2 linked regions of the Ovis aries genome follow. The protein of the gene in region 1 binds, or shares a complex with, the protein of each later gene. Links are inferred from orthologs where the notes say so. Each region holds a gene or a part of one and is shown on either strand. Other genes may lie near its edges. The genes, in order: SIRT5 and PRDX1.

Evidence for each region.
Region 2: the proteins of SIRT5 (region 1) and PRDX1 are in contact, whole or in part, in a crystal structure (PDB 8Z54), measured with the Homo sapiens proteins. The link is inferred for Ovis aries from reciprocal best matches to the Homo sapiens genes SIRT5 and PRDX1. Residues at the interface, in NP_001363727.1 of Homo sapiens: Ala86, Tyr102, Arg105, Gln140, Ile142, His158, Val220, Val221, Trp222, Phe223, Gly224, Glu225, Asn226, Leu227, Leu232, Val253, Val254, Tyr255, Pro256; in NP_001189360.1 of Homo sapiens: Phe195, Ser196, Lys197, Gln198.

The regions. Positions count from the first base shown.
Region 1 is NC_056073.1:42,249,929-42,254,509, reverse strand, and holds the start of SIRT5 (NAD-dependent protein deacylase sirtuin-5, mitochondrial), read left to right. Parts: upstream 1-1,614; 5' UTR 1,615-1,664; exon of another isoform or gene 1,665-1,744; intron 1,745-1,823; exon of another isoform or gene 1,824-1,855; intron 1,856-1,970; exon of another isoform or gene 1,971-2,188; intron 2,189-2,211; exon of another isoform or gene 2,212-2,709; intron 2,710-4,581. UniProt on the Homo sapiens protein: NAD-dependent lysine demalonylase, desuccinylase and deglutarylase that specifically removes malonyl, succinyl and glutaryl groups on target proteins.
Region 2 is NC_056054.1:20,143,029-20,147,389, reverse strand, and holds the start of PRDX1 (peroxiredoxin-1), read left to right. Parts: upstream 1-1,451; 5' UTR 1,452-1,745; coding exon 1,746-1,863; intron 1,864-3,146; coding exon 3,147-3,263; intron 3,264-4,361. UniProt on the Homo sapiens protein: Thiol-specific peroxidase that catalyzes the reduction of hydrogen peroxide and organic hydroperoxides to water and alcohols, respectively.

The sequences.
Region 1 (4,581 bases):
CTCAGGCAGGGAATGTGTTAATTTCTTCCATCCTGCAGTCTACAGGTGGACAGGGTTCTGAACAAAGGCACTTTAGTTTACAGTCAGATAGAGGGGCAGGATTCCCTGAGGCAGGCCATTATGTATAATTACAATTACAAAAGCAACGAAAAGCAAATCAAAGAAACAGTCTCAGCATGGAGTAAGAAGTAACTTTTCCCTGCAACATTACTACTGAGGGAATGAAAAACGAATATTCCAGAAAGAGGGACCAGCCTTTGGTTTGGAAGGACAAGACCATCAAGAAATGAAGCTCGAGTTGCTCTAAGGATGGAAAGGATAGCGGTTGATGTTTCAAAAAGACAAAGTAGCCTGATATCGGCAGAAGAGTCAGCTTTTCTAAGCCTGGAAGAAGGTATGTGGTTAAGGGATATATAGCGGGTAGCTGTGGGTTGTGACTCCTGGGCCTTGATAGAATGTGATGTCCCAGAAGGGATCCAACCTGTGGCTGGTGCCATGGAAGTTTGCAGTGACCGGCACAGGGCCTCCCCCACAGTGTGCCCTCCCTCCCCCCAGTGTCTGAATGAAGACAAGGATTGACACCTGATGACTAACATCAAAACCACAAAAAGCAGCTCAACATGTTAACGAGAGGCAGTACAGGCAGTGGCGCAGACCCCTGTGGCTGGAGCCAAAGCATTTAGGCTCAAACCCCAGCTCTGCTATTCAACAGCCTATCTTGAGTAGTTACTTGACCGCCTTGTGCCTCAGTTTCCCTATCTGTAAAGTGGGAATAACTGTATATCTTTTATCGGATGGGGAAGATTTTAACTGGTTAAGACACGTGAAGTTCTTAGCGGTGTCTGGTACAAAGTGCCATATATATGTTACAGAAAAAGTAGCAGTCAGACATAAGACCCTTCTCCAATTTTCTCGGACCCCGTAGGGCCCCCGGAGACTGATATAACCTGCGGGAGCAAGAGGGGTTCCAAAGCGGGCGGGACTTCCAGCCAAACTGAGGGGGGCGGTTGAGGTCAGAGTTGGAAAAACAAATGCTAATATCACATTACTGGCCAGTCTAGAAACAATTCTATTCTCGGAAAATTAGTTCTGGCTGTGAGACTGAATCAAAGACAAAGAAAGATGACTGCTTTTAAGGGCGATCAGACGAGGGGAGTCACGGAGATCACAGAGTACTCGAGACCTGGAAACTGGTCCCTTCCGAGGCAGGGTAAGGATCTCAGCACCAGCGCTCGTCATTGGTAGGCAGGCCTGGGAACCCCTCTAACCTTCATTGGAAATAGCGTTTCGGGGAAAGCCACCCCAATATTTCACATGCTCTGTGGCTAAGTAGTGCGGTCCAGCTAGCTGCAGGCTCAAAGAAAAAAGCAGTTCATCCGTCTTTCACGACACGTCTAGGAAGCTCACAAAGACGAGGCAACAGACCGTCCCTTCCCCCGCCGGGACCTCCTCCCCCCGCCCCTCCCCAAGAAAGAAATGCAAAGAAACAATCTTGTGCGACGAGCAGGCCCAGGGACGGGCCTCCAGGGCTCGGGAGCCGGATCAGCTGTGGGCCTCCGGCAGGGGCCGCTGCAGCCCCGGGCAGGTGGCTCGAGCCGCTCCGCCCCCAGGCTCGTTGTCCAGCCCCCGCGCCCGGGATCCGCCGCGGTCCCCGCCTCCTACAGGTGCGTGGGCGCCGGGGCCGGGCCGTGATCTCCGCCGCCTCCCTGGACTCCGAGGGTCGTGATCGAGCACAGGGGGCCGGGTGGGCGCCGTGGAGGGGGGCTCCCGGGGAGGGCGCGGGGTTGTGAGGGGAGGCCCACCGGGGCGCGCATGCGCGGATCAATTGCCTCGGCCGGTTCCGGGGTCCGCGAGGGTGGGTGGGAGGCGAAGGGGCACAGGGGAAGTGGGGTAGGGGAGAGAGTGGAGGTGGGGTGGGGAACGGGGAGGGCGAGGGGGGGAGGGGAGGGCGAGGGGGGGAGGGGAGGGCGAGGGGGGAGGGGAGGGTGAGGAAGGGAAGGGGGCGCGGACCCCGTTTCTTCGGGTGGATCCAGCTGGCAGTCCCCCACACCGCCGGCAGACACGCGTGCGGAGGCCGAAGATCGGGGGTCTTCCCGGCACGGCGCGGGGTGCTAGCTGCGGCCGGAGAGGCGAGGGAGGGGACCAGAAACGAGGTTGGAAAGTCAGGTGCCCGGGGCGGGTGGGCCTGGTAGGTCGCCGTGAAGGACGGGTGGCCCGGGGGACTCGGGGCAGGGTGTCCCCGTTGAGTAGAGGCCCTCCGGGCCCTGCTGCAGGCCGAGTGGCACTTGGGGCGGCCTGGACCGGGTGGTGGGCGTGGGAGGCGCGGCCGGGTTGGGACACAGTTGTAAAGCTGCAGTTGCTGGGGGTATATCAGGTTGTGTGAGTGTGAGACGTGAGCCAAAGGGAGAAGTGAGCCAAAGGGGGCCAAGGAGGATGGCTACCTAAGGCTTTTGGGGGAACGTTCAAGAGTTGAGGCTTGACTGTGAGCTGGGAGCCTTGTGTTGGACATCCGAGGCGGGGTGCACTGGTGAAGCCCGGGGAGGGTGAGCGATCCAGCCAGGTAGGAGGAAAACCAGGAGCAGCAAGAGGTTCCCCAAGAGGTGATCAAAGGGGTCAGAGGCTGGACCTGATCCAGGTGGACCGCTGGGTTTAGCAAGGTGGAGCGGGCTGGTGACTAGATAAGAGCCAGCGGTGAACTGGGGAGAGGAAGTGAGTCTCCCAGTGTTGATAGCTGGGGCCTGGTACTTCACATTTGTTTGACTCATAGGTGTTCAAAAAGTATTTATTGAACACCCTTGGGAGTTTTTGTAGTTCCCTCTCGATGTACTTTAATGTTTTGTAAATGCTTTTTCTCTCGAATTCCTCATATAACCTTACATTTGTTGTATTATTGTATTTTTAAGAATTGGGGTGCCCCCTTTCTCAACAGGGAACATAGAGACATTTTTCTGATTTTCTAACTGGGTAGGTGAGTTCCAGGTTTCCCAAAAAAGCCTGGTTAAGTGCGGATTGCCATTCACCGAGACTAATGTCAGTGTTTGAGAACCTATCCTGCACTCAGAAAGCTCCCAATGACTGGGATGAATGAGTTTATTTTCTTCCCTGAGGCCTTGCCACCTGAAAGTCAAATCAGGGCCAGATAATTGGAGGCTTTACCCAGGGCAGTTTTCACCCTGAGGGCTTTTGGACCAGACAAACTGATGTCTTCCTCCTCTGACTCAGCACAGTGGGGGCCTTCTTACCCTCCCGATATTTGCTTTGGCGTTTGAATTGGGTTGAGTTTGTGGCAGCTAGAACTACTGTCCATTCTGATCCCCCAGAAAAGCACATAAATATTGACACAGAGGATTCTTCTGATGAATACTTTGCAGTAGCATCTTGAAAATGTTTCTCAGGTGGCACAGTGGTAAAGAATCCGCCTGCCAATGCGGGAGACGCTGGCTGTATCCCTGGGTTGGGAAGATCGCCTGGAGAAGGAAATGGCAGCCTCTTGCAGTACTCTTGGCTGGAGAATTCCATGGACAGAGGAGCCCGGCTGGCTATAGTCCACGGGGTTGCAACTGAGCGACTAAACAGCAACAACAAAGCATATTGAAAATAGACTTCTGTTCTGAGTATTTACAAATCGTGGAGATAAATTTCAGGTGGCACTGTTCTAAAACAGTGTTTATTTAAAAAAATTTTTTTAAAGTTTTTTTTTTTTAAACCTTTACTTTGTTTTCACATTTATTGAGAGACTTGGAGAATATCTTGTAAATTAATGGAAAATTTAGCAAAACAGTTCCCACATTCATTAAAAAAAACTCATGTTTTTTTTGTCTTGTAAATGTTTTTTATTTAACATTACAGTTTCGACTTTTATCTAATTTCCAGTTGACGATCAGCAGCAGTCTGAAATACTCCAGCTTTTTAGTACCTTTTTAAGTTTTAACTATGAAACTAAAACTTACTGTTTTAGTTAAACTAAACTTGTAGTTTTTAACTACAAGGCTGAATAGTATTTCCCTGGATGAAATACATCCAGTGATGAACTATATCTGTTAATGGATGAACCACAGTTTTTATTTATCCATTCATAAGTTGATAGGCCTTTGACCTGCTATTATCTGATAGGCCTGTTGAACGTAACTAATTTCACAGGACACCAACATCAAACAAGGCTACACTGTAATCATGATGAATCAGGACAAAATAAGACTTCATAATTAGGTCTGACGTGAAGTTGCTCAGTCGTGTCCAACTCTTTGTGACCCCATGGACACCAGGCTCCTCCGTCCATGGGATTTTCTAGGCAAGAGTACTGGAGTGGGTTGCCATTTCCTTCTCCAGGGAACTTCCTGACCCAGGGATTGAACCCAGGTCTCCCACATTGTAGACAGACGCTTTCCGTCTAAATAAGAACTTTCTCTAAACCACGAAAATGATAAGACACCCTCCTATCCTGGCTAATAGGAGGGCCTGTTGCCTCTTGACCAATCCCAGCTCAAGCTTTACTTCACTCCCTCCTCTTTAGATCATGTTCCTTGAAATATCCAATAAAAGGAAACTTTTCCCAGACAACATCCAGTGTAGATCAGAGCC
Region 2 (4,361 bases), on another chromosome or scaffold:
GCTCCAAAGGAGATAAGGTAGTGGGGGCTATGGGCAGAAAGGGGAACACAGTACTATGTGTTATGTTTTTTCCTCCCCCTGGGCCTGCCCTATGTAAACTTGGCTAGCCTGGAGTGCTGTTTGTTCCACCTGAGGTCCTCATTCCAGTCCTCAACCTTCCTTTGTTCTATTTTCGCGGGCTTTTCCCTTCCTTGCCTTTTAGCCACAGCCATTCTGGACTCCTGTTTCCTATTCTAACTACCTAACATATGTATTCAATACTCTTTATTTTATAGCCGATGCTATGTTGTGACTTGAGGGCGCAGAGATGGTTGTGACCAAGCAGGCTACTGTTTGAGCAGAAAGGATGGAATGAATTCTGAGGATCAGTGAAAGTCAGAAGAGTTTCACCAGAAGGTAATGCCTCAGCTGACACATTTTCTGCAGGCCAAATAGGAGAGAACAGGTTCTGCACGTTCGAACAAAAGCCTGAGGTTTCAAACAGTTACTCTCTGTCCTGGGAGTTACGACAGAGGAGCAAGATGAGTTACACTAAAAACAACAGCTAACACTTTCATGTGTGAGAATTGCTAAATAAGCTAGAGATGATCTCAACAAAGAATTCATAGTATTCCCATTCTACAGGCGAGAAAAGTTAAGGCTGATTGATTAAGACTCTTGCCTTAAGGCCACACATAAAATAACAAGAGTTTTAACCCAGGAAGACAGAGCCCCAGTTTCTATAAACCACAAATCAGAGCGGTGAATGAATGAGATCAAATTTCAGAAAGATTTCCTGCAGCCGCAGTGGAGTGAATGGGAAAGGAACTCATGCAGGGGAGCTGGAATGCAACAACCCTGTTATAAGGAAGAACAATAAGAGAGGCTGTCTAAATAATGAGGGTTACGGAGGATCAGTCCTTGGAGAAGGAAATGGCAACCCACTCCAGTATCCTTGCTGGAAAATCTCATGGACAGAGGAACCTGGTGGATTGCAGTCCATGGGGTCGCAAAGAGTCGGGCACGACTGAGCGACTAACACACACACACACACGGAGGATCAGTACTAGAGCAGAGGCTGCGGAAACAGGGGCGGAATATTTCAGAAATACTTGAAGAGATCGTTCTCCTCAGGGTTTGGTTAGACGTAGTCTTCCGTGAGCAGCAGCGAGTGCCCGTACCCTGGTTTGGGCCTTACGAACAAGGAGGAGGCGTTCGTGTTCTGAAAGGACTGAAAGAGCGCCTCAAACTCAGGCCTCAACCGTCGGCGGCGAGAGGGGGATTGGTACTCTAAGGGCGGGAGCCCGCCCCCAGCAAGGGAAAGCGCTGAGTCATCCTGGCAGGGCACGTCGGGTCCCGGCGGTGTGCTGGCCATATCCCCCTCCCCATTCCCCCCGCCTGCACCCCCGGCCCGCCCTGACTCTCGCGAGAGCCTTACAGGCTATAAAGGCAGCGCCCCGCGCACGCCTCGCGCGTCTTCTTCCTCGCTGGTATCGGTCCTCTTTCTCTGGAACTGGTGAGTATGAGGGCCGCGCCCCCGCCCCGCCCGTCACCTTTCCCGTCTTCTCCTCGGGGCCCGCTGAACTCAGCTGGGCTCCTCGGACAAAGAAGGCGGCCAGGCGAAGCGACCCTCGTGTGGGGCTCCTTTGGGTGCGGGGACGAGGTTGAAACCCGAGGCTAACGGCAGCTTGAGTCTCCCCTACCCCCAGCAATACAAGCAGAAAGCGCTGATTGGCTTGGCGTGGCGTCTGGGCGGGTTGGTGGTGATGGAGTCTCCTGACGCGCGGGTAAGGGAAACTTCTCGAGTGAATCTGCAAACTGATCAGGAACTGAGAGCTATCAGTCGATCGTGTAGTAGAAGGAGAGGTTGTTCCCGGTCTTCAGGTGTGGAAAGTTACTAAGATTCCGTTCTCCGTCTTTATTTTTCCACCTGCAGAATGGGGTTTGTAGTGATTCTAAATGTCCTCGGTGAAGACTGAGCACTCTTCTGGAGCTTTCTGAGACGCTAGGGTGGGGGTGATGATGGGAGTGGCAGGGAGGGTACAAGAAGTGGGTTTTGGCGGAGTGGCTTTCACCAGGGACCTTCAAGGGGCGATTTCCTGAAGGGGACACACCCGGTGGAACTCCAGCTTCCCCGCCTCCCGCTCTTGGTCGTGCTTTAGTGGACGTAGGGATCCCTTGGAAAAGGTTTGAATAAGGAGGACATGTATATTAGGGTCACCTCCTGTGTTTGGTTGGGTTTTTTGGTTTGCTGTTATAGGTGTTAAGCGGTTAAAAAAAAATTGTCACAGTCGATGTTCAGTCTTTCTTTTGGCTGTAGTATTATGAACCAAGAATTTTGGGACTTGAAAAGTTAGCTTCTTGGGATTATCAAACTGATGACTTACTGGGTTAAATCTTACCATGTTCTTGACCAGGGTGAATCCAGTGTTACGTTGCTTTTTGGCAATAAATTGACTCTTGTTCTAACCATTTTTCCAGGATCTTGGTCCCTCGGTAAACTCACTTTTGAAAGGACTTCTGGGCTTTAAACACAACACTTAGAATTTTGAAATTGAGAGATGCCATAATCTTGGACTTGGCCTCTTAAAAAATTGGATTGGCTTTAGGGTGTGTGTCTTGGGAAATCTACCCAGAGAAAGAACGTGTGCTTCCCACGTTCTGAAGGCAGATGGAGGTGCAGTCCAGGGAAAGGGCATCATGGCAGCTTCTGAGGCTTGGGTGCTTAGTGTTTATGGCATTGCACCTTTGGGCCCAGGTTTGAGAGTTTCCACCCTCTTCTCTTTGTACACCTGTATAATAAACGTACACAGGAAAATGCAGTTGTACTGATGATGGTTCAGGAACAGGAAGAGTTCAGTTTATAAAGAAATTCCCATTTTAAAATGAAAACAACATTGTAAATCAACTATATTCCAATAAAAATTTAAAGATCTTAAATGAACAGTCCCTCCCCTCAAAAATGAAAACAGAGGTGAGATTCAGAGATGTGTAATATTTTTGTTTGAAAAGTTGGAAAGCTCAGTTCATGCTTCTCACTGTTATAAAAGTTTATGTGTATATTCAAGACCAGTGGACAATTTCTACAGCTTAGTCTCTTAAATAGATGAAGGTTGTTATCTAGAAAAGTAAGACTTGTTTCTAATTCACTTTCTCATCTTTTCCAGCTGATAGCAATATGTCTTCAGGAAATGCCAAAATTGGGCACCGTGCCCCCCAGTTCAAAGCAACAGCTGTTATGCCAGATGGTCAGTTCAAGGATATCAGCCTAGCTGACTACAAAGGTAAGAGTAATTAAGTTCATTAATATGAAATTATAGTACAGTCTAGGGAGGGCTTGTTCACTCTATCTCTTGTCATGTTTGAGTGTAAAATGATTTTTACATCTCATTTGTCTTTAGGATAAGAGGCTGTTGCCTTCCTATTGAAGTGGTGATTATCATCAGTGAACATAGGGTAGATCTCCAAGTCCAAACTACTTCTGGAGAAGGCATGTGCCTACTTCATTATATCTGGACATAATATCTCAATTATCTTCCCAATATTGCTCCTCAGTTATTTAACTGGAGATACACTCATTATCTTGTTACAGTTTAAAGCCTTGGACAATTTAAAGTCTCAGAGCTCAAGTCTTTGGAGCTGTGAAACTGTTCAGTTTACAAAATGTGTGTCACGATTGAGGGTTTAGGCATGTTCCCTTGACATTTTACCCCCAGAGAAAAATTGATGTCACAATTGGAACAACTCTCCTTTCTGTTAAGTAGTTTCATGTAGAAACCAGGCAAATACTAATGAGGATCTTTTTACTTTACTGTCCTAGAATAGCAAGGTATTCTGGGACAGTTCAAAATACGGATTTCCTAGAATTTAAACTTAAGGACTCAGGCGTCAAGTATACCTTTCTTGGTGATACAGCAGTTCATAGAGTTAGCTTTTGGGTAAAACCTATGACTAGATTTCTTAACAAATTCCACATACTGGTTGGAATGAGAGCAGATAAGTGGGGCCCTGTGGAGGAAAGCTCCTCCTGGCAAACAAAGTAAGTAGTACCATAGGGAGGTGACCCTGGCCTAAGGGTAAAGGCATGAGGTTTAGGAAGAGTTGCTCTGTGCCCTCCTGGGCTTGACCTGCTGAAGCTTGTTAGCAAAACCCTGGGGGAAGGTTGAAGTGTGTCAGAAGGACCAGCATATTTTGATTTTGAAACATTGCTGGTATCTGGAAATGTGAATATTTGGAATTGTTGGTGAGAGACTGCTTGACAGGTTGAAGATCTACTTCAGTTGGTAATCAGAATGACTTTAATAAAATTCCAACTAGAAATCCTATTACCTTCCAGGAGAATTTTGGGACCTTTGTCTTAGAAATTTTTTCTTTGCTTGTGC